Linked DNA regions of Ovis aries. The protein of the gene in region 1 interacts with the protein of each later gene in a pairwise test. Links are inferred from orthologs where the notes say so. Each region holds a gene or a part of one and is shown in the gene's direction. Other genes may lie near its edges. The genes, in order: STX5 and STX3.

Region 1 (16,291 bases):
GCCTCTCTTATGTCTCCTGCTTTGGCAGCGGGATTCTTACCACTAGTGCCACCCGGGAAGCGCAAGCAACATGCCTCGTGGCATCAAATCAGGAACTGGCGGAAAGGCGTCCCAACTCGGTTCTTTGGACACCAAAGTCAGCGGTCAGGGACCGCGGGCCTTTCCAAGTAAATGTCCGGAAGAGAGGCGCCGCCCTGCATCCGCTTCAACAGACTAACGACCACCACAGCTGCACCTTCAGGCTGGGAGAGATCGCCAGTCTCCGAGGGTAAACACCAGGCGGCCATAGAAATCGCGTCTAGCATGGGGACCAATCCCAGAAAGCGAAAGAGCAGTGGGGCGGGTTTATGCAAAATACAGAAGGAGTTAGCCGGAGGCGAAGCAGTAAAGGACACAACTTAAGGTCTAGTTCCACAATATTAATTATTACTATGAATCAGAAATGATGAGAAACTGGTTTTAAGAAAGACTGCACTTTGAGAAAGAAACTAATGATTAGGCCATAAAAGTCACCACAACCGCAAAAGCTACACTAAGAGTAAGGCTGGCCCGGAGGCGAAAACACCGTTATCGCTTCTCGGCCTTTTGGCTAAGATCAAGTGTAGTATCTGTTCTTATCAGTTTAATATCTGATACGTCCTCTATCCGAGGACAATATATTAAATGGATTTTTGGGATTAGGAGTTGGAATAGGAGCTTGCTCCGTCCACTCCACGCATCGACCTGGTATTGCAGTACTTCCAGGAACGGTGCACCCCCTTCGGGGGGAATAAATACTGTTTCAAAGAAAAACTTAACATAAAACTTTACTATGGATGTCTTTTAACTGATCTAATAAAGCCATCTACTAGTAACGCATGCTTTCCAGATTTAAATATTTGCGTTATAAAGACGTTTTCAAAAAAAAACTTATATATTATTTTGCTTGGAAACTTAATACCCACTGTAGATTACCGAATTTACACTAAGGCCAATGAGGTCAAAATGTACTTGAAATAAAATGTCTGTAAGGATTTTTGTACATGTAAGATAATGGCGGTGGTTTCGGTGGTTGTGACGCGATTTTACGTATATTCGGGGCTTTTTAAGAGGTTCTACAAGAGCAAGTCCCTGTCAACCAAAAAACGTGGGGTCGACTCCCCGAGGCCGCAAAGATCATCTGGAGGAGAATAGTTTTTACCACCGCAATAGTCCTATCTGGAGAATCTCAGAAAAGCCTGGTGTACTGCAGTTCATGGGGTCGCAAAGATTCAATTGAGTGACCAGTACTTTCCGTTTTCACCGACCGGTATTCCTGCCTGAAGACGAGCCTGGCTCCAGGGCTGTAAGTCCCTAGAGTCGCCAAAGCCGTCGGGTCCGACTTAGCAACTAAATAACTACAATTTTAAAAATAGTGACGTGCACATATTAGAGAAGTTATTTGCCGTAGGGAAGATATTGAGTAGTGCTTCAGTTCAGTTCCGTCGCTCAGTCGTGTCCGACTCTTTGCGACCCTATGAATCGCAGCATGCCAGGCCTCCCTGTCCATCACCAACTCCTGGAGTTCACTCAGACTCACGTCTATCGAGTCAGTGCTTATTACACCTCTTTATAACGGGTAAGTTTCCTGATCTAGTTCCCTCTACTTGAAAACTGTAGGTGTGCACCGGGCCTTACAGCGAGGAAGACTTTCGAGCAGAGAAATAAATGGTTGAACGTCTCATAAAGGGAAATCATAGTATTTCAGGGAAAGAGATCGTTCAGATTTACTTTAGGGTCTGTGAGGGGCAGTAATGGTGGTTGTGGTGTGTTTCCGCATGGCTTGCCTAGAATGTTAAGCTCCGGAACTTATTGGCAGTTCTCCAACTAAGGTGGTATTCAAGATTGTTTCTCTGTGGAGGACAGATCTGCCAGGCAAGAGTGGGATGCTCTATGCTTACTGATATAATTTCAAGTAGCAAAGTTTCTGAGACTTTTATTTCAGACAAGTCATTCAAAGAAGGGGGCCGTTATGAGATTTTAAAGTTGGAGCTTATCTTTGGAAAAACTGTTTCTTTTAATTTTGTAGATCTTCATTGCCCATGGTGCTGTTTTATACCATCAGCAAATCTCAATGTGAGGAAATAAAAGTAACGCCCCTACCCTTCACTTTCCAAAAGTGAAGCTCATCGGTTTCATTTCCCCCAACTTTGTTCATTTTGTCCTATTACGCTTTAAGTTGAAGCCATGCGCTTCATTAGTGATTTGAATCGTTCCTTAAATGAGCTCTTTTCTTCTCTTGTACAGAAAACATACATTGCTTTAGAGCAGAGGAACAGACTAGGGCTGCCTGGATCCCATATCGTGGTTGAGATAGTATGCCTTCTACTCCAAATGTAAAATGGTCAAGTTACTGTTCAGATCTCCACAAACAAGTCTCCAGATTTCATTTTTGTAAAAAGCAAAACCAGCTAGCGGGGAGAATATGTTTTACTCTTCCGGTTCTTTAAAGGCCTAGAAATGGAGTTCCTCCGGATCCGACTAGACGCAGACTGGTGACGCAGGCGTTGCGCCGGAAGTGGGAGCCTTGGGTTCCCGAGCTCCGCTATGGCGGCTGCGGCTGCACCGTGGAACCATGTGTGGGTTGGCACCGACACTGGCATCCTGAAAGGTGGGTAGCGAGGTCGGGCGTCGGGAACTGCGGGCTTCGCCGTTTCGCTATTCTGACTCAACTGACGTCCGTGTCCCGCAGGAGTGAACCTTCAGCGCAAACAGGCGGCGAACTTCACGGCGTCAGGACAGCCCCGGCGCGAAGAGGCGGTGAGCGCCCTGTGTTGGGGTGCGGATGGCGAGACACAGGTGAGCGACCGCTGAGAGTCGGAGCTGGGAGTCTGGGGCGCGGCCGCCTCGCTCTCCTCGCCATCCTGTGCTCCTCTGCCCGCAGATCCTAGTGGGCTGTGCCGATGGGACAGTGAAGCACTTCAGCACCGAGGAAGGCAGGTTCCAGGGCCAGAGGCAATGTCCTGGAGGGGAGGGCACGTTCCGAGGCCTCGCCCAGGTCGACGGGTAAGACCAAACCCCTTGCAGAAACGCTCAGGTCGTAGCGAGAGCGTTGAGGCTCCCACTGGACGACCGAGTAGTGGCAATCAATCCTGAGGTGACATGAACCTGGTCTGCGTGACAGGGACGTTTTTCCTGCCTTCGTCCGTTCTTTCCTATAACAAACATTTATGGAACACTTATTCGGTTGTTTATAGGCACTGGGCAAAATCCAAAGGCTTAGGTAAACCACAGTATCTGCCATCATAGAGTTCGCTACTTCCAGAGTTTTGTTTTTTGGCATAATAACCTTTTGGATGACCCTGAGCACGTTATTTAATAGTTTGAAAGTAAAAGTGTTAGTCGCTCAGTCGTGTCCCACTCTTTGCAGCCCGCTGGACTCCTCTGTCTGGGGTTTTCCAGGCAAGAATACTGGAGCGAATTGCCATTTCCTTCTCCAGCGAATCTTCCCCAGTTTCCGGCACTGCAGGATACCACCTGCAGTGCAGGAGATTCTTTACCAACTGAGCCACTAGGGAAGTTTAGAATATGTTTTTAAATGCGGGCTAACAACCACTAACAAAGTGGCAAAGCTCCTAAAGAATAAGAAATGCTGGGTTGCAGGCTTAGTTTTCTTCTGAAGGTGAAGAGAGAGGCTATGAGCTGACTGTAGGTTTGGTGAGGTTAATTCTGACAGGTGAGTCTGGAAGGCTGGAGCGGGGGAGGAGGAATATTTGAACTTGGCCTTGAAGGTTGGGTAGAATTTTGACAGATGGAGAAAGGAGTAAGGGCATTCTAGAAGGAGGCTCCTGCTTGAGCAGAGGCCAAGGATTGGTGTGAGGCTACAGGGCACATCACAGGGAAGATAAACAGCATTTGGGGGTTAAAGAGAAGACTCTTGAGAGTCCCTTGGACTGCAAAGAGATCAAACCAGTCAGTCTTAAAGGAAATCAGTCCTGAATATGCATTACTCCAGTACTTTGGCCACCTGATACAAAGAACTGCTGGAAAAGATTGAAAGCAGGAGAAGAGAATGACAGAGGATGAGATGGTTGGATGGCATCACCAGTTCGATGGACAGGAGTTTGGGCAAGCTCCAGGAGTTGGTGATGGTCAGGGAAACCTCAAGTGCTGCAGTCAATGGGGTCGCAAAAAGTCAGACACAACTGAGCGACTAAACTGAACTGGGGGTTGAAGCCCAGGAAACTTTTTTTTCCCCCTTTTTAAAAATTTATGAGGAAGCATTTTAATATAAGATGAACGAGGTAAGTTGGGATTTAAGGCAAAGTGCTTTTAAGTGTCAGGTTGAGCAATCTGCGGTTTTGTAGGTAATGAGGCATGATTGGTTTCTGAGCAGGAAACACTGTGTTCAGAGCTGTGAGCCTGCAGGAACGTGGAGATGGATTGGAGACTGTTGCCACAGCCCAGGAAAACCCAGAGCCTGAACCTAGTTGTGGAGGGTGGGCAGATATGAGAAAAAGCAGAGGGCTTGGGCTGTACAGATCCTGGGGAGAGATTGGCTTGTCTGGTCTGACACCCAGAACAGGGAACTTGAGAGAGGAAGCTGGTGTTTGATTCTGACCAAACACTAAATCCAGAGCAGTCCCAATTCAGTGCTTTCAGAGCTCTGACTCCTGGTGACCACATCAAGAAAAACCAGCAGGGCCATGTGCCCCAGGTGGAGCTGTGGAATAGCAAAGACTTTGCAGTATCACAGTCTTGATTGCAGCTCTGATTCTGACATTTATAGCTAAGTGGCAAATCTTATAATTTTTTGTAGCTTCACTTTCCTTACTTATAAGACCAGTAAACCATTAGCTTGACGAGAAATTAAATAACAGCCATCAAGCCCCGCCCAGACCTGAGTTACCTGGAGGCTTCCTTAGGAACAGGGCTGGTAGGAGGGAGTCTAGTTCATATGAATTTGGGGGTGGGTCGACTGGGGACAGAGAATGCCATTTACCCCTGCTCTTTTAACTCTATCCTCCCTTTGCCTGCAGCACCCTCATCACATGTGTGGATTCTGGGATTCTTCGAGTTTGGCCTGACCAGGACAAGGAGGCATCCTCTGACCCAGTGAGATCCCCCCTCATCCTGATCCTGATGGTTGGGGAAGGTGGGGCCCAGGGTAGAGCCAATGAAGGCTTTGGAGGAGGAGGATTAAGGATCTGGAAGTGACTCTCATCTCCGCTCTCTCATTCTTTTCAGCTCCTGGAACTGAGGGTGGGCCCTGGGGTATGTAGGATGCGCCAAGACCCAGCACGCCCCCACATCGTTGCCACAGGTGGGAAGGAGAATGCTCTGAAGGTGTGGGACCTGCAGGGGTCTGAGGAGCCTTTGTTCAGGGCCAAGAACGTGAGTGATGGTGGGTGGAGAGGACCTGGGTCCGAATTCCCATGAGTCAAGGCCACTGATTTTGAATTGGAGACTGGCAGGGTTGTAGGGGATGATGACAGAGGGCAGAAGGAAGGGACACACTGAGACCCTCCCAGCTCTGTCCCTTATCTACCGACCCCACCAGGTACGGAATGATTGGCTCGACCTGCGGGTTCCCATCTGGGACCAGGACATACAGTTCCTCCCAGAGTCACAGAAGCTCGTCACCTGTACAGGGTACCACCAGGTAAGGCACACATCTAACCCCTAACTTTTTATGGGCTCATACAGCTTCCTGGAGAAACAGGAGGCTTGCTCTTTGCAGGCTCGGTCCCCACCATTTGGCACAGCCACTCTTCTCTCCATCCTTGAGTCATCCCTGAGCTCCCAGAAGAAGGACCACTTCCCCAGCCGCGTGTTCAGCCGAGTGGCTAAGCCAGTGACCTTCACTTACTACATTCTAGGAAGGAGTTGCTTGAACTGTAATTCTTCCTTTTCTTCCCACCTGGAAGAAAGAAGGGAGTGTCCCCTTCATAGTAGAATCACGTGGGGCCCATGTTATGAGAAGAAATGGACTGGGTATCAAGAGAACGGGGTTCTGGTCCTGATGGCAGTCTCTAATTTGCTTTGGGACCCAACTATGACCCTCTAGTATCTGTAATATCTGGCTGGTCTCTGCTCCTCAGCTGTATAGGAAAGGCCCAACTGGGGATCTTTTCAGCTGGGCTTTTTTTTTTTTTTTTGACCACGCTGCGTGGCAATCATACTTCCCTGATCAGGGATCGAATCTGAAGTGGAAGTTCGGAGTCCTAACCATTGGACCACCAGGGAATTTGAAATTCTAAGACCCAGGCAGGACTGGGTGGGGCTACATTTGCCCTGCTTCCTCTGCTCTGCATACTGAAGTCTGCTCTTGGTAATACACTTCTGCTCAGAACACATATGAGGGCTTCCTCTCTCCTTCCTGTCCAGGCTTAACTTTTTTCTCTGTTTGACTTCAGCAACTCTGACAGTTGGGCCAGCTTGCTCTTGCATCATGAAAGGGGAGTATAGATGGAAAGCTCACACATGCAGACCATGGGGATGCTGCTGCTCCTAGCCTGGGGGAACCTCTGTTCTCAGCTCTATATGTTCGTGTTCCTCAGCAGCTCTCCTCTACTCCTCAGCACTCAGAGAAGAAGGGTGTGTTTCAAATGAGAAAGTTTCTCTGAAAGAGTGGATTGTAAAAGCAGTGTATGGGGTAGGGGGGCTTCCCTGGTGGCTCAGTGGTAAAGAATCTGCCTGCCAATGCAGGAGGCTTGGGTTCAATCCCTGGGTTGGGAAGATCCCCTGAAGAAGGAAATGGCAACCCATTCCAGTATTCTTGCCTGGGAAATCCCATGGACAGAGGAGCCTGGTGGGCTACAGTCCATGGGGTCACAGAAGAGTTGGAAACAACTTAGCAACTAAACAACAACAAATGAGGGGAAGTGAAGATGTAGAGGTGCCAGGGGGCTATGCAGAGTCAAGGTGCTGTGGTGATGCCTCAGCCTTCTTCCAGGTCCGTGTCTATGATCCAGCCTCCCCTCAGCGCAGGCCAGTCCTTGAGGCCACCTACGGAGAGTACCCGCTGACAGCCATGACCCTCACTCCTGAGGGCAAGTGAGTGTGTAGAGGGCAAAGTGGGGCTTGGGGAGGACTCGGGGGCTTCTGCTGACCAACCCCATGTGTGTCTCTCTGGTTCTCCTCCTCAGTTCAGTGATTGTGGGGAATACTCATGGGCAGCTGGCAGAAATTGACCTCCGGCAAGGTGAGTAGACCAGGGAGCCTTGCAGGGGTCAGGGGTGGGGAGGAAGGGCAGGATTCCCCCCTGACGGGGCGGTGGAGCTGCTGAGCCCTCTTTCAGGTGCCAGAACCAGGTTCAATCCTGGTTCTGCCAACTGTGTGACCTTGGACAAATTACTTTGTCAATTCCCTGTGCCTTAGTTTCTTCACCTGAAAAATGGAGATGTTAATGCTAACTGCCATGTCAGCATTATGTTAAACGAGGATTAAATGGTGAAAGAAAGAGATTTGAACAGAAAACACTCAATAAATGGTTGTTGGCTGACCAGTTAGCAGTGATACCTGCCCCCTTTTTCCAGGGCGCCTGCTGGGCTGTCTAAAGGGACTGGCAGGCAGCGTCCGAGGGTTGCAGTGCCACCCTTCAAAGCCCCTACTAGCCTCCTGTGGTTTGGACAGAATCTTGAGGATACACAGGATCCGGAATCCACGGGGCCTGGAGCATAAGGTGAGAAACCACTCATTCCTGCCTCTTGTGCCCTCCTCCCTCCCCCATTCTTATTTCTGTTTCAGCAGACTTGGCCCCTTAAGGTCCCTCATCTCTTCTAGGTTTATCTCAAATCTCAATTGAACTGCCTCCTCCTGTCAGGCAGGGATAACTGGGAGGTAAGCTCTTGGGTCTGGGAATGTGGGAGCTAAGGGTACAGGTATGAGGATCTCTCTGTGAAGAGGGAAGGGAAGCGGCTGGAACTTAGACCTGAGACTGTCCATCCATCTGCTGGGTATAGTCCTGACAGGGTCATTGCCAAGGGTAACATAGGAGCATGGATGAAGTGAAGTGAAAGACATTCAGTCATGTGTAACTCTTTGTGACCCCCATGGACTGTAGCCCACCAGGCTTCTCTGTCCATGGAATTCTCCAAGCCAGCATACTGGAGTGGGTAGCCATTCCCTTTTCCAGGGGATCTTCCTAACCCAGGGATTGAACCCAGGTCTCCCACGTTGCAGGCAGATTCTTTACCAGCTGAGCCACCAAGGAAGTCCAGGAGCATGGATGGGCATGGTTTTTAGGAGCAGGAAACAAGGGGTGGTGCCTGGAGGAATGATTCTCCTCCCTGTGGGTCTGTTATTGTACCTCTGACTCCTGAGGGCTTCTCCCACTCACCAGGATGAACCGCAAGAGCCTCAGGAGCCCAGCAAGGTGCCCTCAGAAGACACAGAGACAGATGAACTTTGGGCCTCCTTGGAGGCAGCTGCCAAGCGGAAGCTCCCCGATTGGGAGCAGACCCAAGGCACTCTCCAAGCCAGACAGAGAAAGAAGAAACGGCCTGGGTCCACCAGCTCCTGAAGAGCTTGTGCTCACTTTGTAAATAAACAGCTTAAAACGTACCATGACCTTGAGCCTTTTGTGATGGGAGAAAGTGGTGGCGGCTCCCTGAGCTGGGGTGGTGGGGGTATCTGACGTCACAAAAGCAGGGCCAGGAACCTGCCGGCTGGCGTGGGTGGCACCGAGTGCAGGGCCGCATGCGGGGCCATGGGCTGCTGCCAAGATAAGGACTTTCAGACTTCGGATGAGCAGGCCAAGGAGGCCGGGTCAGAAGGTGGGACCGGAGACACACCAGGGGGCCCAGGGAGCTGGGAGTGGGGACTGGACCACCAGGAGGTTGGACTAGGGAGACTAGAACTGAGCAGCCTCGCATCCTCACAGGCACTGATGCGGACTCGGTGGAGCAACGGGATCGCAGGTCGAACGAAAGTCTTTTGATCACTGTGCTGTGGCGGCGGCTATCCATGTTCAGCCGTCGGGGTTCCTCTCGGTCAACCAAGAGGCAGGCAGTCCAGAATCCAAAGCCGGCGAGTAGGATCCAGGAGTGCGATCAGGAGAGGATCCAGGAGGAGCCGGAGAAGGGGTGACTCCAGCCCCGTTCTCACTCCTCCGCAGCCTTCAGAGAATAAAGTTTCTAACGTGTACCTGCCTAAGCGCTTGTGCCTCTGCTTTGGGCACGTAGAGCGCGGGCACCACCAGGGTCGCGGGCTCTTTAAGGCTCCATCCCTGAGGCTGGCCAGTCCCCTGGGGCCCCGGCTCTAGTTCCTTGGGGGCGGGGCCACAGGGGTAGCCTAGCCAATGGGAGGGCGAATTAACACCTGCGTTTTGGTCGAGGGGCGTGCCTCTTGGGTCGCCGAGCTCTAAGAGGCGTGGCACCGCCTTCCCGTCACCGGGGGTGGGGTTACGTGTGGGTGACGTGGCGGCTTCTAGTCTTTGGTCGGGTTTCGGCGGCTTCGGCTCCAGGGGGAGGAGGAGGTGACGATCTGGGAGATTGTAGCAGTGGCGGCGGCGGCAGGCGGCAAAAAGGAGGTAGGACTCGGTAGGGTCTGGCTGCCGTGCCTGCTCTGGGCCGCTCTTTCCGGGGACGGCGCCGGGCGGGGGGAAGGGAACCAGGGCCAAGCGGGCAAGTCCTGCCGGCCCGGCTCGGAGTGAGCGAATACCTCGCTGTCCAATTGGAAAAGCCCCTTTAAGAAGGACGTCCGCGTTAGCTAATCAGTGTTTGCAGACTTCCAGAAGGTGGGACTTGGGCGAGGCGAGGGTGGGACTTCCTGCTTCAAATAAACACCTAGAGATTCCCCCCTCCGCCCACCGAAGTGTGTCCCTCTGAGGTGGTCCGTCACCGTTTCTCCCTGAGGAGTCGGAGGAACTCTTGGATACGAGAGGGCCCAGTTAGAGCCTGGGGCAGTTGCACGGGACGGGCTGGAGCCACAGGACCTGGCTCTGGCCCTGCCTCTACTTCAGGGCCCCGGCCCGCGCTGTGGCCGCCGGAACCAAGTTGGAAGAAGAGTCTGAGGAGGGGGACGGCTTGGGCCGCAGATGAAGCAGGATCCTGTCAGCTGCGGGCCGGTCCCAGGATCTGCGTGTGGCTTCGGGCTCGAAACTCCGTGCCAAGTTCAGAGGGGCCCCGAAGAACTGCTGGTTGGGGCGGGGGGATTGGTGGAGAAGGAGGCTGCCTGGGGAATGACACTCTCCCCTCCACCACAGTCCGAGGTTATGCGTCTCAATGATCCCGCGGAAACGGTACGGATCTAAGAACACGGATCAGGGTGTCTACCTGGGTCTCTCAAAGACACAGGTCCTGTCCCCTGCAACTGCTGGCAGTAGCAGCAGCGACATCGCCCCTCTGCCCCCTCCAGTGGCCCTGGTCCCTCCCCCTCCCGACACCATGTCCTGCCGGGATCGGACCCAGGAGTTCCTGTCAGCCTGCAAGTCCCTGCAGAGCCGTCAGGTAAGGACCTGGACTGGGAGAGGCAGTGAGTCTTACTCAAACCTGGGAGAGGGGATGCTCCAGCACCGTAATTCTTGGGGGAGCCTGATGGAGACCTGGTCCAGCTTGGGATGGTAGGATCTAACAAGCAGCAGAGAAAAGTTGGGCTAGCTAATCTAGAGGCAAGGATCCAGACTTTGTTGTTGTTTTATTTAATCAGGAATCTAGGGTTGCTATTCTGTAACGAATACTTCAGGGCAAGAAGTGATTACAGTATATTTGGTTTGGATAAGGAACAGGTTCTAGAAAAAACCTTTATTTAGCTCAGAGACAAACGCTTTAAATTCTCATTCCAGTATAATTCTACCAAGTTTGCTTTGTGACAACATGGAAGTTAATCTAGTTGGACCTCAGTTTTTATATCTGTAAAATGAAAGAAACTTTCCAAGTAAAGTAATTTTAATAAAATCACCTGGGAGTGTTTTTTTAAAAAATTTGATTCCTTTGGTCCAGACTTTCTGAATCCAAGTGGAAACTGAGTAACTGTGATTTTAAATATTTTTATTGCTCAGTTCTTGTTTACAATTGCTCTTCTATATCCACTCCAAGAGCTTCCTGTTCATCCTCTCAATTCCCCAGTTGGAGGAATAGAATGGTAATACTAGTTACCATTTATTCAGTGCTTATCATGGACCTGGTATTTGGCTAAAATAATTTATAACCCTTATGTTTTTTAATCTTAGCAACAACAAAAGGAGATGTGTAGAATTGTCTCCATTTTACATAAGAGGAAACAGAGATTCAGAGCGGTTTAAGTCACTTGTCCCCAACCCCCCTTCTAGTAAGTGGTGGCATCACATTTTGTGTGGCCTGTCCAGCAGAGGATGCCGCTAGTGCTAGAGGGCGAGTTTAGAGGATACCTGGGGAATAGTGAAAGCTGGCAGTGGGGAGGGAAAACTAAAGTTTTACTTTTTGACGTTGCCTTTCAGAATGGAATCCAGACAAACAAGCCGGCTCTGCGTGCTGTCCGGCAACGCAGTGAATTTACCCTCATGGCCAAGTAAGTTGGGAGAAGTTATGTGGTGGGTTGGCTGGTGTCTGAGGAGAGGTAGTCTTGCCTGCGGTGACCTTGGTGGCGAGGACTGGGATTGGTTGTGCTGGTGCTAAGGTGGGAAAGGCCCTCTCCTTCCCTTCCACAGTGTTCTCATTTGTGCTCATTTGCAGGCGCATTGGGAAAGACCTCAGCAACACATTTGCCAAGCTGGAGAAGCTGACAATCTGTGAGTGTTCCTGAACCGTTCAGAGCTGGGCAGTGAACACCGGAGGGCTGAGGAACCATACTGTCTTGAGTCTGGTCTCCGACCTCACCTGTGGTGGCTTCTTGTTTGTCTCTGCAGTGGCAAAGCGCAAGTCCCTCTTTGACGATAAGGCAGTGGAAATTGAGGAGCTAACTTATATCATCAAACAGGTGAGCGACTAGCGGTCAGGAGAGTCGGGCATTCCAGTTGCATCACTTCCATCTTTTTCCCTTGCTCTAGAGTCTCAGAGCAAGTTTCTCTAGCCAACTCCAAACATCCTACTCCTCTGTTGTGTCAGTGGTCATCTACCATGTACAAAGCTGGACACTTAGCACACAAGCATTATGAGGCAGATACCAGCCTTTAAGAGCTTATTGTCTGGAAGAGGTATCCAGTCCCATAAACTCACACTTACAATGAATAGGCAGCAAGTGGCACAGAAAAGATCATACAAAAAGATGAACGAGATTCTGGGTACACTTGGAAAGATTTTATCGAGGAGGTGAAAACGGAGCTGGTTTCGAGGCTTGTGGAGAGGCACCAGAAGAACATTTGAGACAGAGGAAACAGTGCGCATCGGCATGTCTCATAAAAGGGAAGAGTTCAAGCCTTTGCTCAGATGTCCTGTGCTCAGGGAGGCCTATCTTGCTGTTTAATGCCCCAGCCCCTCCAGCTCCGATCTCCCTTACCTGGCTCTACTTGCTTGTTTATAGCACTTGATACATTCTAACAGTCTCTATAAAGCTGTGTCTGTTGTTTGTTTCCTCCCACTTACCTCCTGGACAAAAAAGAAAATAACAAATGGGAATGCCACAAGAGCAGAAATTTTCTTTCTCTTTGTTCACGGATGGATCCCAGACATCTGTGACAGGGTCTGGCGTGTAGTGTGCTCAATTGTTTAATTGTGTCTGTCTCCTTGTGACCACATGAACTGTAGCCTACCAGGCTCCTCTGTCCATGGAATTCTTCAGGCAAGAATACTGGAGTGGGTTCCCATTTCCTACTTCAGGGGATCTTCCCGACCCAGGGATCGAACCTGTGTCTCTTGTGTCTCCTCCATCGGCAGGCAGACTCTTTACCACTGCGCCACCTGGGAATTCCCTGGCATGTAGTCGTTGCTCAATGCTTGTTGATCACATGAGTGATCGGCAGCAGATGAGGCTGAAATTGTAGACTGGTAGCTGGTTTTAAAGACCATTGTGGGGCTTGCAAAGGAGTGTAGAATCAAAGACAGTTAGAACCTGGGTTCCAGTTCTGTCTGCAAGACACTGGTATAGCAGCTCTAACGATATGATTTGTTTCTTTCCCAGAATAATGTAATAAGGATAACGTGAGAAATTGAATGTCCGTGGGAGGAAAAAAAATGCCCTGGAGCATGAATGGGCAGAGAGGCGAGGGTAGAGGCTTGTGCAGTTGTCCGATATGAAGATGATTATGGCAGAGGCCAAAGGGCAGACATGTTGAAGAGATGCTGTGCTGAATGGGAGAGGGTTCCATCAACTCTTGGGGTGGTGTTATTACTCTTTTTAAAATATTTATGTGTTTGCCTGCATTAGGTCTTCGTTGTGACACGTGGGACCTTCACTGCGTCCTGGGGGATCTTTCCTCATGGTGCACTGATTCTCTAGTTAACGGCGTGTGTGCTCAGTAGTTGTGGCATCTTGGCTTAGTTGCTTCAGACCATTTGGGATCTTGGTTCATTAACCAAGGATTGAACCCGAGTCCCCTGCTTTGCAAGGCAGATTCTTAACCACTGGACTACCAGGGAAGTCCCTGTTGGAGAATTATTGCATAGGTAACCACTGACTGGATTGAGACAGACTTCAAATCCCAGGCTCACCACTTATAATATGACCTTGGGTAAGCTACCTTATCCTGGAGAAGGAAGGGGAAAGATCCCCTAGAGAAAGAAATGGCAACCCACTCCAGTATTCTTGCCTGGAAAATCACATGGATGGGGGAGCCTGGCAGGCTACACCCCTTTTAAAGAAAAAGGTGATGATAATAGTGCCCACCTTGCAGGGTTGTTGTGAGGCTTCACTGGTTTATTTTTTCAATCCCTCACATTACTGAGTGACTTTTGGCTGCCTGGTTCTGGGGATTCAACAACAAAAAAGACCCATGTGATCCCTGCCTTTGGGAACTTCGTTTCCAAGTGGGTGAACCAAACAGTATCTGCTGCTGCTACTGCTAAGTCGCTTCAGTCGTGTCCAACTCTGTGCGACCCCATAGGCAGTAGTCCACCAGGGTCCCCTGTCCCTGGGACTCTCCAGGCAAGAACACTGGAGTGAGTTGCCATTTCCTTCTCCAATGCATGGAACTGAAAAGTGAAAGTGAAATCGCTCAGTTGTGTCTGACTCTTAACGACCCCATGGACTGCAGCCTACTGGGCTCCTCCATCCATGGCATTTTCCAGGCAAGAGTACTGGAGTAGGTTGCCATTGCCGTCTCCAAAACAGTATATAAGTAAACAGAAAATAAATTTCAGGTGGTGGGACATCCTATTAAATAAGGAGAGTGAGCTCCTCAGGGTAAGGGACACTTTATATGGGGTGATCTGGGATGGCCTAGCTGAGGAAGGGACATGGAGACCTGAATGGTAAGGAAAAAATTGATCATCCAAAGATCGGAGGGGGCACATTCTAGAAAGTGGGAGCAGCAAAGGGAGAGGCCTGAGGCCTGAGTGACTTTGATACATTTGACACATGTGGAAGAGGCCAGTGTGGCTGCAGCCAGCCAGTGAGAAGGAGGCCAGTGGGGGTAAGGCCAGAGGAGTGGGCAGACCAAGACCATATAGCTATGTAAGCTGGTGAGGAATGTGGACTCTTTTCTAGATTTAGTGGGAAGCTCTTAGAAGATTTTAAGAGTGGAGATGACATACATGCCCTGTTTTAGGTTTGGAGGATCACTCTGATTGTTGTGTAGAAAATGGCTTGTTGGGGGCAGACTCTGAAAGGAAGGTCACTTAGAAGGCTCTGGGCGATTTTCAAGAGAGGACAGTTTGGACTAGAGTGGCTTTGTTAGAGAAGAAAATGAGTGGACATATTCAGAGCGTATGTTGGAATCAGCTGGGTTCTTTGTGGGTTCCTTATAGATTAAGGGAAGGGAGGAATTGAAAATGACTTGCTAAGTTTTTGGTCTGAGCAGCTGGTGAATGGTGGTGCCATTTACCAAAATGGCACAGAGGAAGGCAGAATAGCTTTTCAGGGCAGGTGGGGGATAAAGAGTTGCTTTCTGTGTTAAGTTGAAGAGAAAGTCATAAGCTGCTTAGCAAGTTGTGTGGTGCACGGTAATCAAACCCAGGGCTGCTGTTCTGTTCACACAGTCTGAATACATAGTAAACGCTCAGTGAAGGTTGTCGTTGTGCTGTTGCATAGAGGTTGGGTTAAAGAGTTGTCCATATGTGACTTAGAAGCTTTTAGCTTGGGCACCAAAGTGGGGAGTAGTGGCTTTTTCTCAGCTCCTGGGGGAGGAGATTTTACGGGAGAAAACCTGGAATACAATTTCGGCTACATGGCTGTCAGTACCAGAAATTGTCCAGGGGACTCGAGAATCCTTGGGGCTGGGGTACTAATTCAGGGGACTGTTGGAGGGATTCTAGAAGTTGCCTGATCTAGTATTTTTTAGCCTATTTTTTGAGCTATTTGTGACCCCTTTCCCCTCCCCCTCCTCTTTCTCCTCTGGTCCTGCCCTGGACCTAGCTGCTCTGGGGCAAGCTTTCTCTGCCACTCCCGGTCAGTCCTTCATCTCCCTTGTTTTATGAGGCCCTCAGCAGGCAGGATTGGGAAAGCAGAGGATCCACCGGCCTCGTGTAGAAAGCCTGGCTGTGCTACTAACTCCTGTATAAAGTTCGATGAGTTACACCTTTCACTCTTTTGCAATAGTAATTTTAAATATATTAATTAGAATAATTTAAAATAGAAATTTAAAATAATTTAAAATATGTGTGTGTGTTTAAGTCCCTCAGTCGTGTCTGACTCTTTGCAACTCCATGGACTGTATAAGTCTACCAGGCTCCCCTGTCCATGGAATTGTCCAGGCAAGAATACTGGCATGGTAGCTATTCCCTTCTCCAGGAGATGTTTCTGACCCAGGGATTGAACCTTGGTCTCTTGAATCTTTACCATCTAAGCCACCAGGGAAGCCCATATATATATTTGGCTGCACCAGGTCTTAGTTGCAGCATGCAGCTTCACTGCAGTTCAAGATTCTTCAATTTTCATTGCAGCACACGGGCTCTTTAGTTGTGGTGTGTGGGATCTAGTTCCCTGACCAGGGATCGAACCTGGGCCTCCTGCACTAGGAGTGCAGTCTTAGCCACTGGACCCCCAGGGAAGTCCCTGCAGTAGTAATTTTTTAAAAGGAATTGTGTATATAGAAACCATTTCATTGATGTTTCTAGGACTCCTCCCATCTCCTGAGTACAGCACAGATGCTTTGTTGGTCAGCACGCTCTGGGTCTGAGATTCTGTCCTTTTAAGGGGTCTGTGGCCATGAACAGGGCCTCACAGTAGTGAGTAGGGCAGTAGGGTGGAGGGAGTAAGCAACTCAGTTCTTTACAAACGGACGAGGCCATGTTTCACCTCTTTCCGGCTCTACTCTTCA
Region 2 (15,585 bases), on another chromosome or scaffold:
AGGCAAGTCTGAATCAGTCTCTTGTGGGGTCACAGCTCCTGTCACCTGGGTCCTGTTTGGGCTGGACTGGATGAAGCACAAGCTGGAATCAAGATTGCAGGGAGAAATATCAGTAACCTCAGGCATGCAGATGACACCGCCCTTAGGGCACCCTTATGGTGAAGAACAACTAAAGAGCCTCGTGATGAAGGTGAAAGAGGAGAGAGAGAAGTTGTCTTAGAGCTCAGCGTTCAGAAAACTAAGATCATGTCATCCGGTTCCATCACTTCTTGGCAGACAGATGGGGAAACAATGGAAACAGTGAGAGACTTGATTTTTGGCTCCAAAATCACTGCAGATGGTGACTGAGCCATGAGATTCAAAGACGCTTGCTCCTTGGAAGGAAAGCTATGGCCAACCCAGACAGCATATTAAAAAGCAGAGACGTTACTTTGCCAACAAAGTCCATCTAGTCGAAGCTATGATTTTTCCAGTAGTCATGTATGGATGTGAAAGCTGGACCATAAAGAAGGCTGAGCAGTGAAGAATAGATGCTTTTGAACTGTGGTGTTGGAGAAGACTCTTGAGAGTCCCTTGGACTGCAAGGAGATCCAACCAGTCCATCCTAAAGGAGATCAGTCCTGGGTATTCATTGGAAGGACTGATGCTGAAGCTGAAACTCCAGTACTTTGGCACCTGGTGGGAAGAACTGACTCACTGGAAAAGACCCTGATGCTGGGAAAGATTGAGGGCAGGAGGAGAAGGGGCCGACAGAGGATGAGAGGGCTGGACGCCGGCTCGACCCCTGGTCTGGGAGACCCCACGTGCTGCGGGGCGGCTGACCCACTTGCTACACTCCTGAGCCTGTGCCTCGAGCCTGGGGCCGCGGCTGCTGAGCCCCGGGCGCGGCTGCTGATGCCCCTGCGTCTAGAGCCGGTGCTCCGCAGCGAGAGACGCCCTGCCTTGCGGAGCTTGCACACCACAGCGAAGACCCAGTGCAAGCAGAAATACGAGTGAATATAAACGAGGACTCGAGTTCCTTCCCCCGCTTGCTTTGCCAGTTGCAGAGCTGTGATCAGGTTTTCTTTTCCTTTTTTTAAAGAAGTGGATTGTTCATTGGAGGAAAGGGCTGCTGGAAGCTGCATCGTGAGTTGTCTTTCCGTTGCATCTCAGGGGCTAAGACCCTCCTGTGTGGCATCTTACGAGGTTTCTGTTTGTTGACTGTGGCCGTGTTGGCATGCCCCTCACTGTGGAGGGCAGGCAGGTGGCTGTGGAGGCTTCGAGACCTCTTCCAAGCCAGCTGTGCCCTGCTCATTGCAGCCACCCCCGGAGGGGCTGTGGGGCCGGGGCACCTGGTGCCTGTGAAGACAGAGCTGAGGCTGAGCTTCACACGCGGGTGGCAGGGTCCATGCGGGTCAAGGCACGCCTCCCGGTGCTTTCTTTATATTCAGTTGGCTGCACCGGGTCTTAGCAGCAGCGTGCAGGAGCTTCCTCAGCTGTGGTGTGGACGCTCTTGGTTTCAGCCCGTGGGCTCTGGTTCCCCAACCAGGGATTGAACCCAGGCCTCCCGCACTGGGAGCGGGGTGTCCTAGCCGCTGGGGCTCCAGGGAAGCCCCGGGACTTTCCCATGCACACCTGGAGCTGAGGAGCCTCTGCACGGGCGGGCACGCTCCAGGGTCCCGACGGTCGTCCAGGGCGGTCAGCTGGTCGGAGGCGTGTCCAGGGGCGCTGGGCAGTCCCGCCGGGCAGCCGGGCTTCGGCGCTCTCCTGCCTCTCCTGGGCGGCTCTCCTGCCTCTCCTCTCTCTCTCTCTCTCTCTCTCTCTCTCCCCCCCCCCTTCGCTGCGTCTCACTCCGCCCGTTCTCTCCCTTTCGCTGTCTGCCTCTCTGCTGTCTCCCTGCCTCTCCCTCTTGCTCACTGTGGCTCTGGCTTCTGGAGCAGCGGAGGCCCTGCCGGTGTCCTGAGCCTTCCCTCTGACGCTTCCTTGGGTTTTCCTGGCTCTTCTTGACTCCAGCCGCGACCCCCCTCCGAGGTGGGACCCCCCTCCGAGGTGGGCGGCCGGTGGCTCCTCAGGGAGCGGTGAGGCCGGAGCCTCGTGGACGGCTGCCGGCGCGCCCCTCCCTGGCTGGATGGGGTGGGCCGGGCGCGCCCTGGGGCCGTGGGCCTCGGGAGGCTTGCCCGGGGCCACCGCCTCCCTCCACGAGTGCGGCGCTGGGCGCGGAGCTCTGCTGGTCTGCGGCCAGGCTCCCCCTCCTGACGCCTCTCTGCTCACAGATCGAGGAGACGCGCGTCAACATTGACAAGATCTCCGAGCACTTGGAGGAAGTGAAGAGGCTCCACAGTGTCATCCTGTCTGCGCCCATCCCCGAGCCAAGTGAGTGCCGCGCGGGGCTCAGGCGCCCGCCGGGTCCCGCTGGGGGTCGCAGGGGAGGGCGTGTTCCCTCAGGCCCGCGTGCCCGCGTGTCACCGCCGCCCTCCTCCCCCTCCCCTGCTCTCACCGCCCTGTTGGCGCCTGTCTGTTCCGAGGCCGCGCCGGCTCTCCGCCGCAGCGCGCGGGATCTTTGCTCTCTGTTGCAGCATGCAGACTCTTTAGTTGGGGCCTGTAGGATCTGGTTCCCTGACCAGGGGTCGAACCCGGGCCCCCTGCATTGGGAACGCGGAGTCTTAGCCACTGGACTCCAGGGACGCCCCCGTCCCCTCTGCTTTTCCTGGCTCCACTGGGCCAGACTCTCGTCTCCTTCCCAGCGAGCCCAGCCCCGTGGCTGGCGGGGACTCTTGCTGCTGCCGGCGTGCCTTGCCTCTGCCCCCGCCTTGGGTTTCTGGAAGGCACACCTGGGCTGTTTTCTCTGCTTGGAATGCTTCCCCAGACCCTCCTTTTCTTCCACGAGGTGTTTTTATTCTGCGGGTCGAGGGCAGGGTGCCTGGAAAAATGCCTTTAAAAGCTAAGCTCACTGCGTTCTGATGATGGGTGTCTGGGGAGCCCCTGGGGATGCGTACTGCCCTGGACGCCTGAGAAAGCACTACGCCTCCTCTGCTGATTGTTGTCGCTGACAAAGTGTTCAGTCTCTGCTAACTGATTCTGCCGGCCTTTGTTTACCCAGAAACCAAGGACGACCTGGAGCAGCTCACGACCGAGATCAAGAAGAAGGCCAACAATGTGCGGAACAAACTGAAGAGTAAGGGGCTAAGGGAGCAGCCAGCCCCCCAGCCGCCCCGCGTCTGGGGTCCAGCCCTCCTGCGGCAGAACACGTCCTCATGGGGGTGACGTCGCGCGTGGCCTCTTTGCTCGTGATCTGGGCTCCGTCTTGGCGTGACGGATGATAGCCCCAGAGCTTTGTCTGTGGTTGAGTGAGGCGAGAACTGAAGCCTGGGGACGGGAGCGGTGTGTGCTTTCAGCTGGTGGATGTCTGGTGGCTCGGGTCCCTAAACTCAGTCCCTCGCCTTTTCCTGGTCCCGTTTCCTCCCCCGGCAGCTGCGCACGTGTGAGCAGTGCTGTCAGTGATACGAGGATGCCGGGCAGATCGTCTGCAGGCGTCTCCTGGGGGCCAGGTGTGTCACCTCCCCCCACGCCCCCTCCCACCCCTCAGCTGGGGCAGCGTTCTGTGAAGCCGCTGTCGCAGATTCAGTTCCTCTGGGAGCCCAGAAGCCTCCTCAGGTCCGAGGCTGTCGTCTGCATTCTTGCCCCACTTACTGTCTTTGGTGATGAGTGCGCGCCGTTGGTCAGGGAGAGAAAGTGGCGTTGCTGAGCCTGAGGTATCATTTCTTCGCCCGCTTTGGACCGTACTGCTTGTTTCCATGGGGATGGAGTGGAGGTTTCCGGTGGCCGCTTCCAGTCCGGCAGTGAGCCTGTGCCCCTGTCTGCGTGTTCGTGTTTGATTTCCATGTTAGCATTGCGAGGGGGGCCCTGCAGCGTGCCCATTGTACAGAGCGGAGACCAGGAAGGCTGAGCGCTCGCGGCTTTTCCAGGTGGCGTGCCGGGATGTGGCTGGGAAGGGACTTGAGCCCGGGTCTCTCGGTGATGGGGACTCGTGCTGTTAACTGCTGCGCTGGGGCATGGCCGAGTGAGACCCTGCAGTGAAGGTGTCCTGGGGCTCAGACGTGAGCCGGGTGTCGAGACAGGACCTGCCTGCCGTTGGTCTCCTGGGCCGGTGTGTGTGTTTGAGAGAGGAGGCTGCATCGCACGGTGAGTTTCTTGGAGGAGAGCAGGGGCTGCGTTGCTAGAATAAGCTTCTCTCCCATCCAGGCATGGAGAGGCATATTGAGGAAGACGAGGTGCGGTCGTCGGCAGACCTTCGGATTCGGAAATCCCAGGTGAGATTCTTGGCCTAGCAACCGTCTATCCCAGTCTTTAAAAATTTTTTTTCCCTTAGCTGTGGAGTCTTTTTAAATTTTAAAAAATACTTATTGAAGTAGAATTGATCACAGTGTGGTGCTTCAGATGCGGCAAAGTGATTCGGTCAGGACATACACACACGCACGTGTGTCTTGCTCTTTCAGACCCTTTTCCGTTGTAAGTTATCACAGGATATCGAACATCGTTCCTCGTGCTGCGCAGTGACCCTGTTCCATATATGGCAGTGTGTATGTGTAAGCCCCATACTCGTAATTTATTCCCCCACCTCCCCTTTGGCAACTATGAGTTTGCTGTCTCTCTGTTTTGTAAATAAGTTCATTTGTGTTGGTTTTTAGACTCCACATGCTTCATACCAGTGATGTCGTATGACATCTGTCTGTGCCTTGCCGCGTGTAAGTGAGAGACTCTCCGGCGCGTGCACGTCGCTGTGAGTGGCCGTATTTCATTCTTTTCTCGCGGCAGTGTTGCGCCGCGTCTTCTTTATCCACTCATCTCCTGATGGACACAGATTGCTCCCATCTCTTGGCTCTTGTGACTAGTACTGCGGTGAACACTGGGGTCTGTGTATCTTTTCTAATTAAGAGTTTTCATCTTCTCTGGATCTGTGCCCAGGACGGGGGATTGCCGGATCGTATGGTGGCTCTGTTTTTAGTTTCTTAAGGACCCTCCCTCCTGTTCTCCATGACACCATTTACGCTCCCACCGACAATGTAGGAGAGTTCCCTTTTCTAGCTGTGGATCTCTAAAAACAGACAGACAAACAGACCTTATTTGGAACTCAGTGTGAAGAGCTGGTAGCGGGGAGCTGCCCAGGTCAGAGTGGGGGACAGGGCTGAGACCAGCCCTGGTGGCCCCTCTCGCACCGTCCTCTCAGGAGGCGCCTGAGGTTCCCAGAGCACAGAGGAAGGTGTAGTGAGCCTCCTTGGTTTACAGGAGAGGAAACTGAAGTCTGCTCTCTGGAGACTGTTGGTCGTCGGTTGTCCAGCTTGGAGTCAGGCTGCTTGGCGGTCATGAAAGATACGACCCTTGTCACTGAGGAACGGGCATGACGTTCCAGTGCCACAAGGAAGCTCTGACATAGGACCGCAGGAGAGAGGGTAGGAAGATAGGACCAAGTCCTGTGCTCCCAGCATCGGGAGAGCCTGGAAGGACTGAGGTCCCAGAGGAGGCTGGGCCCTGGGTGGGCAGGGTGTCAGCGCGGGCAGGCTCAGGGAAAGGTTGTCCTTGGAGGCATGTGGGCAGGAGTGGTGTGTGTAGAGTAGGGGTGGTATAGGGTGGGTAGGGGCAGACGTGAAGAGAACAGTCTGTCTAGAGACAAAAGTTTGTCACAGGATAGTGGGGGTTGCGTTTTTGGTAGAGAACCCAGTGCCATATTCCAGGGGCCTTCGACTGCGGTCTCGGGAGTTTGGATCTGATCAACTAGCTGGTATGCATTTACTTTGGGTTGCAGTCTGTTAGGAGGATAATCTGCTAGCCATTTGAAAACTGGCTCAGCGTGGGGCACGTGGGTCTCTCATTGGGTTTTTGCAGTGATTTTGGTCTGAATTTGCCTGGTGATGGTGGGTTTTAAAAAAGTGTAGATATTGGTGATTTGGCAAAGGAAAAACCTTTGTTGGGTCTTGATGCTGAGAAGTGGGCAAGGAATAAAAATGATGATGATTTGAGTTTAGGCACCAGGGCTGTTGATGGAAGCATTGAGTCAGAAGCAAGAAGATTTGAAGCAGGAAAAGCTGGGTGATCCGTTTGAGTAAGAACGCAAGGGTCTTTGGATGTGGAGGGGAGTCGGGCAGGGCCTCTGGGATTCCCAGAGTATCTCCTTTGGCCTCAATTACTCTGTGAGTTCAGCAAGACAGGTTAACAGATAACTGAAAACATGCTTTGAAAAGGTGAGCTGGCTTTCCCCGTGGTGTGAAGTTAGGAAGCCAGAAACACCGAGTCTTGCCCCTGGCCTTTGGGGTTTTGTTTTTCATTTCTTTCACACTTTTGAAAGATCACTTTCCAGTTATAGTTCTCACACAATCTTGGGTATATTCCCCCTGCTGTAGAATGCATCCTCGAACCTGTCTGACACCAGGACTTCGTGCCTCCCCTCCCGCACGCGTCTGCCCCCTCTCCGCCTCCCCGCTGGCCGCCGCCAGCTCACTCCCCGTGTCTGAGTCTGCTTCCTCTCTGTTACGGCCATAGTTCGTTGTGTTCTTTAGGTTCCACATATCAGGTGATGTTATACAGTACTTGTCTTTCTCTGACTTGTTTCACTTGGCATGATACCGTCTAGACCAGCCGAGGCTGTCACCAATGGCAGGGTTTCACACCTGACTGCTGGGTAGCATTCCCTGTGCGTGCGTGTGTACGTGTGTGTGCACCTTCTTTATCCAGTCCACTGTTGATGGACGCCTGGGGGGCTTCCGTCTCGCGGCAGCTGTGAGTGATGCTGCTGTGAACACTGGGGTGCCCGTATCGTTCTGAATTAGTACTTTTTACACAGATATATACGCACATATTTTACACATGCATATATTTACACACACACGCACACCCAGGAGTGGAGTTGTTGGGCCACATTGTAGCTCCATCCTCAGTTTCTGGAGGAATCTCAGTCCCCAGTGGCTGCACAGTCTGCCTTCCTGCCAAGAGCTGCCCTAGGCCTCGCGGTCCCGGGTCTGGTGCTGCTGTGGGCGAGGCTGGGGCCGGGGCGCTGAGCCTGTGCCCCTCGCTCCTGGGGGCTCACAGCCTTGACCTTGTCCCCGCAGCACTCCGTCCTGTCCCGGAAGTTTGTGGAGGTGATGACCAAGTACAACGAGGCCCAGGTGGACTTCCGTGAGCGCAGCAAAGGGCGGATCCAGCGGCAGCTCGAGATCAGTGCGTGTCTGCAGCGCGTTCTGTGCCCCCTCCTGGCCTGTCGGGCGCTGGTCTGTCCGGTCGTCAGGGCCAGGGAGACGGGGCCTCCAGGTGGCTTCTGCCTTCCCTTTTGTGCCCCAGCCAAGGACGGGGCTCACGGCACTGCCGCCGCCTGGATGTCGTGTCTTAGGCTGAAAGAGGGTGGCTCCGTGCTACCAGGTCCAAGTGTTGGTTGCCATGGGAACCAGCATTTCCACATCCATGGAGGGAAATACCTGCTTCCTGGGGCTCATGGCATCTTTGCTGCCTCTTTGACAGCAGGGAGTGGTGCAGGTTGCCCCGTTTGTGTAAAGGAGTTAACACAGCCTTACCCTTTAGGAATCGGTAACTTTAGGAGTAACTTTAGGAATCAGTAGCAGTCAGGGCTCCACAGCGCAGAACATGCTCTGAGTGCAGGAATTAAATGGACATGGTCGCAGGCAGGGAGGGCAGGCCGGCCAGGGCCTGGGGACAGGGTGCGCTTGGGCAGAGCAGGGTGGGGTAAGTCGGTTGGAGGGAGGGCTCACCTGGGAACTGGCCCTTTGTCCTGAGGACTTTGGACCCGGTGGCAGAGTGAAGGGGGCCAGGAGATGTTCCAAGCTGGAAAGGAATATAATCCGACACAGACTTCAGGAGGGTAACTGCTGATAAGGTTGAGGCTGGATGGGGTTAGGGGAGACATCGGAGAAAGGCGAGCAGGCTTTAGAGGCCACTGTGCTCCCACTGGGATTTCCAGGTGGTTCAGTGATAAAGAATTGTCTGCCCATGCAGGAAACACACGAGGCATGGGTTCGATCCCTGGGTTGGGGAGATCCACCAGAGGAGGAAATGGAAACCCACTCCAATATTCTTGCCTGGAAAGTCCCACGGGCAGAAGCCTGGTGGGCTGCAGTCCACGGGGTCGCAAAGAGTTGGACACAACTGAGCGACGGAACATGGCCGTCTTCAGGAAGCTTTTGAAATGATGAGCTTTGATCTTCTATCTGATGCTCTCCTTCTTTTGTTATAAAGCCGGCAAAAAGACTACCGACGAGGAGCTGGAGGAGATGCTGGAGAGCGGGAACTCTGCCCTCTTCACCTCGGGGGTGAGTGATGGTGCGGGGCTGGGGGGTGGGAGGCCCGCAGGGGTCCTGGGGGCCGTGGCGGGCCTGGGGGCCGACGGTCCATCTCTCTGCGGCCCACTGTAGATCATCGACTCTCAGATTTCCAAGCAAGCCCTCAGCGAGATCGAGGGCCGGCACAAGGACATCGTGAGGCTGGAGAGCAGCATCAAGGAGCTTCACGACATGTTCATCGACATCGCCATGTTGGTGGAGAACCAGGTGAGGCGCTGGGTTCCGCGGGGGTGGGGAGGGGGCTTCCTGAGGAGGGCGGGGGGGTCCGAGAAAGCCACGGGGGGGTCGAGTCGGGAGGGAGAAGCATCGGGAATTGGTGTAGCGGAGTCCCAGAATCCCAGTACCCCAGTAGAGGAAGGCACCTGGGATGCTGACGCTTAGGGGGTTGCCTCCTTGTTATTCCTGCTGGTTACTCTGGCCTGGAAGTCATGTCTATGTAACGTGAGGTGTGAAGTGCTCTGTAATGTACCTGTTCCCTCCGGCCTTGGGATCATCATCATTGTTAATTTTTATTAGTGACGCGGGTTCTTAATGGTGATGCCTTAAAACACTCTTCTGATAGGAACTATCAGCGTTTCACTGGTGACGCTGAAAACATGGGGTCTTTCCCCCAGTTTATGGTGGAAAGTTAGGTGTCACAGAGATTTTTGTGTTTTCCCACTTTTGCTTTTTCTTCTGTATGAGTTTTTCCAAAAATGTTGACTGTTTTTTTTTGCTGAGGAACAACAAAAGCAATGAAGGGACAGCAAAAATAATATCAACGGGAAAACTCGAGTCCCTCACGGAGCCTGCTCCGTTCTGGGCCAGCTTGCCCAGGGACGGACGGCCCTGCTCCCTGCCTGTGGGGTCAGTGTCTCGGGTCCCCTGGCCCCTGCTTCTTAGGGTGCAGTTAAATTCACCGCCAGGCAACGGTGTGGAGCCACCCTCACCGTGAGCTCCCAGTGGCTCTGCCACCTGGAAAGGATCAGAACCTGCTTCCCGTGTAGCAGGAATCCTAATGGCGCCCGAGCGCCACGTGGCTGGTTTTGACACGTTTCCTGCTCTGGGCTCGGGCACCTCTGCTCCATCCCCTTTCGCCCTTGGAGACCGTTCCTCCCGTCCCTCCATCTGCACTCTTGTTTTTCTCCCCACACTGCCTTGCCGAGGAACTGGTTTGAGATTCAAGTGATGGTAAGTGCCGTTCTCTCTGCAGAAAGCCAGGGGTTGCGTGGAATGAAGGTCTAGGTGGGTGGAGGGAATTCCCATCTTAAGATGCACAGAAATCAATTGGGAAGACTGAACTTCAGGTCAGGAAGTAACAGCTGGGGAAAGGTCGGGAATCTTGCTGAGTGACCATGATCTCTTAACCAGATAACTCAGGTAAAACCAACGTCTTGTTACTTACAGGGCCTGGGGATACCTTAGAGAAAGCAAGCGTCCCCACCTCAGCTGTTCACTGAGCACCTGCCGTGCACCAGGCACTTTCTGTAGTAGTGGGCACTTGGTCCAGACTGAGCGAGCTTGGCTCACATCTGAGTGACCAGGAAGAGGCCAGCCTTCCTGGCAGCGCGAGAGATGCGTTCTGGCTTCTCTTCTCACGTTTCATTTTAAGAAAAAGGGGCGCGGGGCACCCTTCAGGATATTCCAGGTGTCTAGACCACGTGCTCCTGGTGTGCAGGGTGCTGTCTGGCAAGACATAACTGAGTGGACATTTCGAGGCCGGGTGGCCGCCGCCTCGGCCTGGGAAAGCACCGGCCACCACGGGGAGGTGTGCAGGGTTACCCCGTGGAAGGCCGCATGGGCAGGTTTCCAGGCGCTCCCCATGGCCTCGCACGCGAGCTGGGACCGTCCCGGGGTGCGTGTCCAGGGTGTGACCGGACTCTGTCCTCCGCAGGGGGAGATGTTAGATAACATAGAGCTGAATGTCATGCACACGGTGGACCACGTGGAGAAGGCTCAGGAGGAGACCAAAAGAGCCGTCAAGTACCAGGGTCAGGCCCGGAAGGTGAGCCCCCCGCCACCCTCAGAGGACAGGTCCATCGTGTGCGCTCTCTCGCTGTCTCCTCCCTCTCCCCGTCTCTGTCTCTGCTGCCGCCACCTCTTGCATCCGGGGAAAGGGCGCCATGATTGACCGTATTGAGAACAACATGGACCAGTCCGTGGGCTTCGTGGAGCGGGCCGTGGCAGACACCAAAAAGGCGGTCAAGTATCAGAGTGAAGCTCGCAGGGTGAGCCCCGTGTCTCGGCGGGACCAGCCGGCTTCTCCTCTCCCTGGTCGCCCCCATCCATGTCCCTGAGATCCCCCTGCCTTCCCTCTGTCCAGCCTCCTCCTTCATCAGCTCTCCCTAGGGAATAGCTCCCCTTCCCTCCCTGGCGTGTCCCGCATGGATCTGGCTCCCACCATCTCCACCCGAGAGCCCACACTGGCAGGCAGTTCTGCAGGATGGACCCGTCACTGCCCAGCGTTGCTGCTGCTCTGCTAGACAGAGCTCTTGGCCCATCCGGCATCACGCGGCTCCTCTGCCCTTTAGGAGCTTCCTCTGCGCTGCCTTCCACTCGGCCCACACCTGTCCTCTTTGGTCTCTCTTCCCTGCTGTGAACCCGGCTGTGTGCTGATGGCTGTGTCAACGCTCAGGGCACACCTGTGTTTTCTACTTGCTAGATCAAACAGTTGAGAATCACTTTAGTCCCTGGCCACCTAGGAAGCGTAGGAACCTGGGATTCAAATTCGGGTTCCAGCCCGGCTCTTCCCATCACCTCATCCTGCTCCACTGCCTGCCCCCACCTTTAGTTCTGGTGTCCCTGTTGCTTGGAGCATCTCTGCCCAGTCACCGCAGTAGCCAGCTCTGGTGGGGTTTGCTTTTTAGCCTGCTCTTTTCTGACTTTGTGCTCTGATATTTCCATTCTTCAGTTCTTTTTCTTCCAACTTGTTGCTTGGGCAGGTGTCTAGGGAGCTGGGAAGTTATTTCACATGATGAATCCTGTCCTGTTCACAACAGGACCTGTACTTTCAGGCCCTCAGTCACTGTCCTGGGTTTGACAGGTGGGAGTGTTCTTTGGGGGAGAGATGGATGGGAATTTGCATTTAGGACTGTGTCAAATACATCTTCATACTCCCCTTGAAAAGGAAAAGCTCAGTCCCGTTATACCTTGGTTTACTGCTGCTTAGAGACCCCGTGACGGTTGCGGTTACGTCTGTCCACACGTGAGGGCTGCAGTGTGAGCTCGGAGCTGAAAGAGGCTCCGTATTTACACCTGCTGGCACTGCTAGTGCAGAGGCAACTTAACAGGAGGTCCCAGCAGAGCGTCTTTACGTAGGGATGTCAGCTTTCCATTTCACTCTATCTGGGTCGAGAAGATGCTTCCGGTGCAGAGGTGGGTTTTGGATGGCTGACTGCGGCTTTTTGGTGGTTTGTAATAATGACTTGTTTTTATTTCTCTTGTCCCTCTCTCCAGAAATTGGTAATTATCATTGTGATAGTAGTTGTGTTGCTGGGCCTTTTAGCGTTGATTATCGGACTTTCCGTTGGGCTGAAGTAAGGGCGGCCGTGCTGACATGTAAGTAAAGGGAAGGCTCTCGGGACTCTGGACCGGCTCGCTCTTGAGAACCTAGCCTGGGATTTCCGGTCCTGCGTCTCCTCTCCCGGCTGTCCGCAGACACGCCGAGTGCTCACACTGTCAGTCCTGTGCCTGCTCTGACCTCCGTCTGGTCCTCTTCTTGGGTCCTGGCTGCAGCTGGGCTCGGTCTCTCGTTGGTTTCTACCCCGAGGGGTCTGGCTCTGGTCTTGTCGATGTGTTCCTCGTTTCCCGAGCACCTTGCCTTCACTCCCGGTCCCGAGCAAGCCTGCTCCTCAGCTGGGTGCAGTCTCCAGCCGGGATCCGGGGTATGTCCTCCAAGCTCTCGCTGTCTTTCAGGGCTCTTGGGCTTTGCCTTCCCTTCCTTTCCTTGTAAACGGAGCTTTGAGTCAGGGTTCATGGCTGTAGGGCTGTGTTAGTGGCTGACTGGCTGGATCTCCAATCGCTAAGGTGTTTTGAGTGTGCAGTTGTGCCAACACCTAATACAGGCATCATTGGCTCCTCACACCACCTTCAGGAGACAGGCGCTGTTATCATCTCTGTTTTATAGGTGAAGATGCTCAGGCTTAGAGAAGTTAAGTAACAGGGCCAAGTTTGAGCACACAGCTAATAGTGGACCTAGGGGAATTCTGTCAGAGCTACTCTTCGTAAAACAAGGTGGCCATTTATCATCGTCTGTAAAGTCTAGAGAGCCTCAGAGGATGGCGACTTTAAAATTTAGGATATTAATTTGTAAAAAATCTGGTAAAAACAATAGAGCTGGCCACTGACTCAGGGCTTCATGTATGTAGCCACAGCATGGCACAAGAGACCTGTTATTGGGACTGCGAAGACTTCCGAGGCTTCTCAAGTGTTTTTCTGACTAAAACATAGCATTATGTATGGTTAAGGACAGACTGGTAAACGCTGAAAAGGTGAGCGGAATTAACTTTTAATATTATTGCCAATAATCTTATGGCACGTTCACACACTCGGATGAGGTTTTACATCATTCAGACTATGTTATCAACAGTTTGGTACCCAGTCACAAGGTCACAAGCATCATTTCTCAACACTCAAATCTCTTTGGGACTCTCATGTTCAACAAGATTGTGACTATACTCTCAATTATTCAACATGTTCCCAATGTTGGAGGTTTGCTATTATTGTTTTGCTATGACTAACAGTATGATTAACTTTTATAATGTTTTCCTCTTTCTTACAAATTCATGGAAGGTGGGTTACTGCGGTAATAGATACACAGACGTGATAGCAGAGCTGACCCTTCACTTCTTGCCTGTTTGCCTTTTTTTCCTTCCTCCTCCTCCCATGTGACTAGAGGATCTCAAAGTCAGATTATTTTTAACCCTAAACATTCAACTTGATACATACATCCACTAGGTGACTGATCTCGCATAAGTAATTAACTGATTTACTTTTTTTCCCTCCTGGTACTGGGACTCTAGTCCTTGACATTTTTTTGTTTGTAGAATTTCGTTCTGACGCTTCACAATCCCTCTGGAAAGGATATTAACATTAAGAAAAGGTATAATAGTCAGTGTCTCTCCAAATCCATGGATGAAAGATGCCTTCCAAATTCACAGGGCCCCTCACCATCCCTAATTCCAGGAATTCAAAATGTAAATCATTTTGTAAAATGAGGAGGCAGATCAGTCCATTGTTTTTAGCTGACTTACCCGACGTCTAAGATGCTAAGTTGCTGAGCCCTTGCTGGGTCGCTTCCCCGTTCCCTGACTGAGTCCAGGCCGACCGGCACACAGGCTTGGACTCGGGAGTCAGACCTCAGAACAGAAACACCCGACGTCCGTGCTCCCCACCTGTGCTCTAGGATAACAGTATCCCCCCCATTTTCGTTGGGGAAGCTCGGTGGAGCTCAGCCCGCAAGGCAGAGCCGCCGTGACAGGCCTCCTGGACATTTCCGTGTCCTGTTCGCTGTGCCTTTCTGCTTCTAAGACAGGCTGGGTGGGCGCTGAGGGAGTGAGAAGACTCCAGTGCCAGCAGGCCTCGGAGCCGCATTCGGAAGGAGCTGATGGGGGCCCTGCACACAGCACGGGTGTCTTTCTCCAGCAACCGTGCCTCGCCACCCACACGTCCCCCCTCAGAGCTGACAGCCCCTGGGAAGGGTTCTAAGAGGCCCAGGGGTTTCCCTTTTTTCCCCTTCTGTCTCTTGTAACAGGGCTTTTGGATCTTCCCAGGTGGCTCAGTGGTGACGAATCCGCCTGCCAAGCAGATGTGGGTTCGATCCCTGGGTCAGGAATTTCCCCTGGAGAAGGAAATGGCAACTCACTCCAGTATTCCAGCCTGGGAAACCCCATGGACAGAGGAGCCTGGCGGGCTGTAGTTCGTGGGGTCACAAAGAGTTGCGTATACCTGAGCATCTCAATCAGACCAGGACGTTGGGCTCTTGCATGCTGGTGCTTCCTTCAGGCCCCGTCGCGGATGCCTGTCGGCTGTCGGGTGTGTGTTGACTCTTCCACGACTGTGTGCAGCTCATCTCTCCTCTCCGTCTTCCAGGTGTGTGGCTGAGTCTTACTGTCACTCTTCACCGTCACCCGGGGTGCTGACCCGACCAGCATCTCCCCCCGCCCCGCCTGGCGTAGAGCCCAGTTTCACCCCAGCCTGGTGTGGCCGCCACCCCTGCCTTCAGATGGGAGCAGAGTGTGAATGGCCTTCCTGAGAGAGGGAGCCCCGTTCCTTTGTTTCCCTGTAACCACCCCTGGGCCTGACCCGGCAAACGGTCTCGCCCGGGAGGAGCCTGAGCGCCTCCCCACCTTTCCTACCCCACCGGCTCTGAAGCGCCTCCTCCGGGACTGTGGGAACCACACCGGCTTCCGTCTCCCCTCCGACGTGTCAGACTGTGTCCTGTGCCTTGGGGAGCCCACCCGAGACCTCCCCAGGTGCTGTACTGTCTACCTCACGGAGTGTCCTCCCCAGCACTGTAATGGTTTGTTTTAAAGTGGGATATCTTTAACAAAGCAAGGGGATTCTTCCAAGTTTGGCAACAGTAAGACCTGGGCCGGAGTCTCCTGCCTGGCAGGATCCCAGTCCTCCCAGCTTATGGTCCTTGTCTGAAAGCAGGAGGCGCGGGCAGAGGTCGCTGTGGTCTCGGAAGCTGCCTTCTCTGAAGTGCAGCCTTGAAACGACGCTCCCAGTGTGCTGAGCTCCGTGGCCACCTTCCACCTCTGTCTCTGCTGTCCTTCCTCGTGTGGACTCAGGGACGCACCGCCTGAGACCGTCATCTGAGGTTACTGTCTGTCTAGGCTGGGCTGTGGCGTCACCGTTCCCGTATCTGGGTCTGGGGAGCTGCTGTTCACTGCGGGGAGGCCCAGAATAACCAGGCCTGTAAAATCAGCCGGGGCTCAGGTCCTTGAGGGTCAGGCTCTGGGAGCTTTCAGACGGGGGCAGCTGTGAGTATTTCGTGTGTTCCAGATGTATTTTTATAATCGTGTGTGTGACATGTATCTACATATATGCATGCGTCTCTCAGGAAGTAGGGAACTGGAAATGAGGATATTCTAACCTCAAAAGAGTAACTTGAACTAGGCTAAAAATCAGGAATCATAGTAGAAATGTGATCTTCTCCTGTCATTGGGAAACTTGCTGTTTTCTGCACAAGCGCTCAGACCACCCAGATGGCTGGGGTGGGCACCAGGCAGGTCCCCGCTAGCAGACACGAGGAGGGACGAGCTCACCACCGCTCCCCGCT

What was found.
Region 2: the proteins of STX5 (region 1) and STX3 interact in binary tests that used the Homo sapiens proteins (3 or more experiments, as listed by UniProt). The link is inferred for Ovis aries from reciprocal best matches to the Homo sapiens genes STX5 and STX3.

The regions. Positions count from the first base shown.
Region 1 is NC_056074.1:37,670,041-37,686,331, reverse strand, and holds the start of STX5 (syntaxin-5), read left to right. Parts: upstream 1-9,349; 5' UTR 9,350-9,490; intron 9,491-10,165; 5' UTR 10,166-10,184; coding exon 10,185-10,409; intron 10,410-11,377; coding exon 11,378-11,448; intron 11,449-11,612; coding exon 11,613-11,668; intron 11,669-11,785; coding exon 11,786-11,856; intron 11,857-16,291. Other genes in the region: WDR74 (WD repeat-containing protein 74), read left to right, coding at 2,566-2,629, 2,711-2,817, 2,903-3,024, 4,998-5,073, 5,206-5,352, 5,519-5,620, 6,914-7,014, 7,107-7,162 and 3 more; TEX54 (testis-expressed protein 54), read left to right, coding at 8,669-8,735, 8,843-9,048. UniProt on the Homo sapiens protein: Mediates endoplasmic reticulum to Golgi transport.
Region 2 is NC_056068.1:81,557,781-81,573,365, forward strand, and holds part of STX3 (syntaxin-3), read left to right. Parts: intron 1-2,252; coding exon 2,253-2,352; intron 2,353-3,079; coding exon 3,080-3,154; intron 3,155-4,221; coding exon 4,222-4,289; intron 4,290-7,082; coding exon 7,083-7,191; intron 7,192-8,220; coding exon 8,221-8,294; intron 8,295-8,396; coding exon 8,397-8,531; intron 8,532-10,197; coding exon 10,198-10,434; coding exon of another isoform or gene 10,435-10,531; 3' UTR 10,532-11,759; coding exon of another isoform or gene 11,760-11,843; 3' UTR 11,844-14,393; coding exon of another isoform or gene 14,394-14,405; 3' UTR 14,406-15,585. UniProt on the Homo sapiens protein: Potentially involved in docking of synaptic vesicles at presynaptic active zones. Apical receptor involved in membrane fusion of apical vesicles.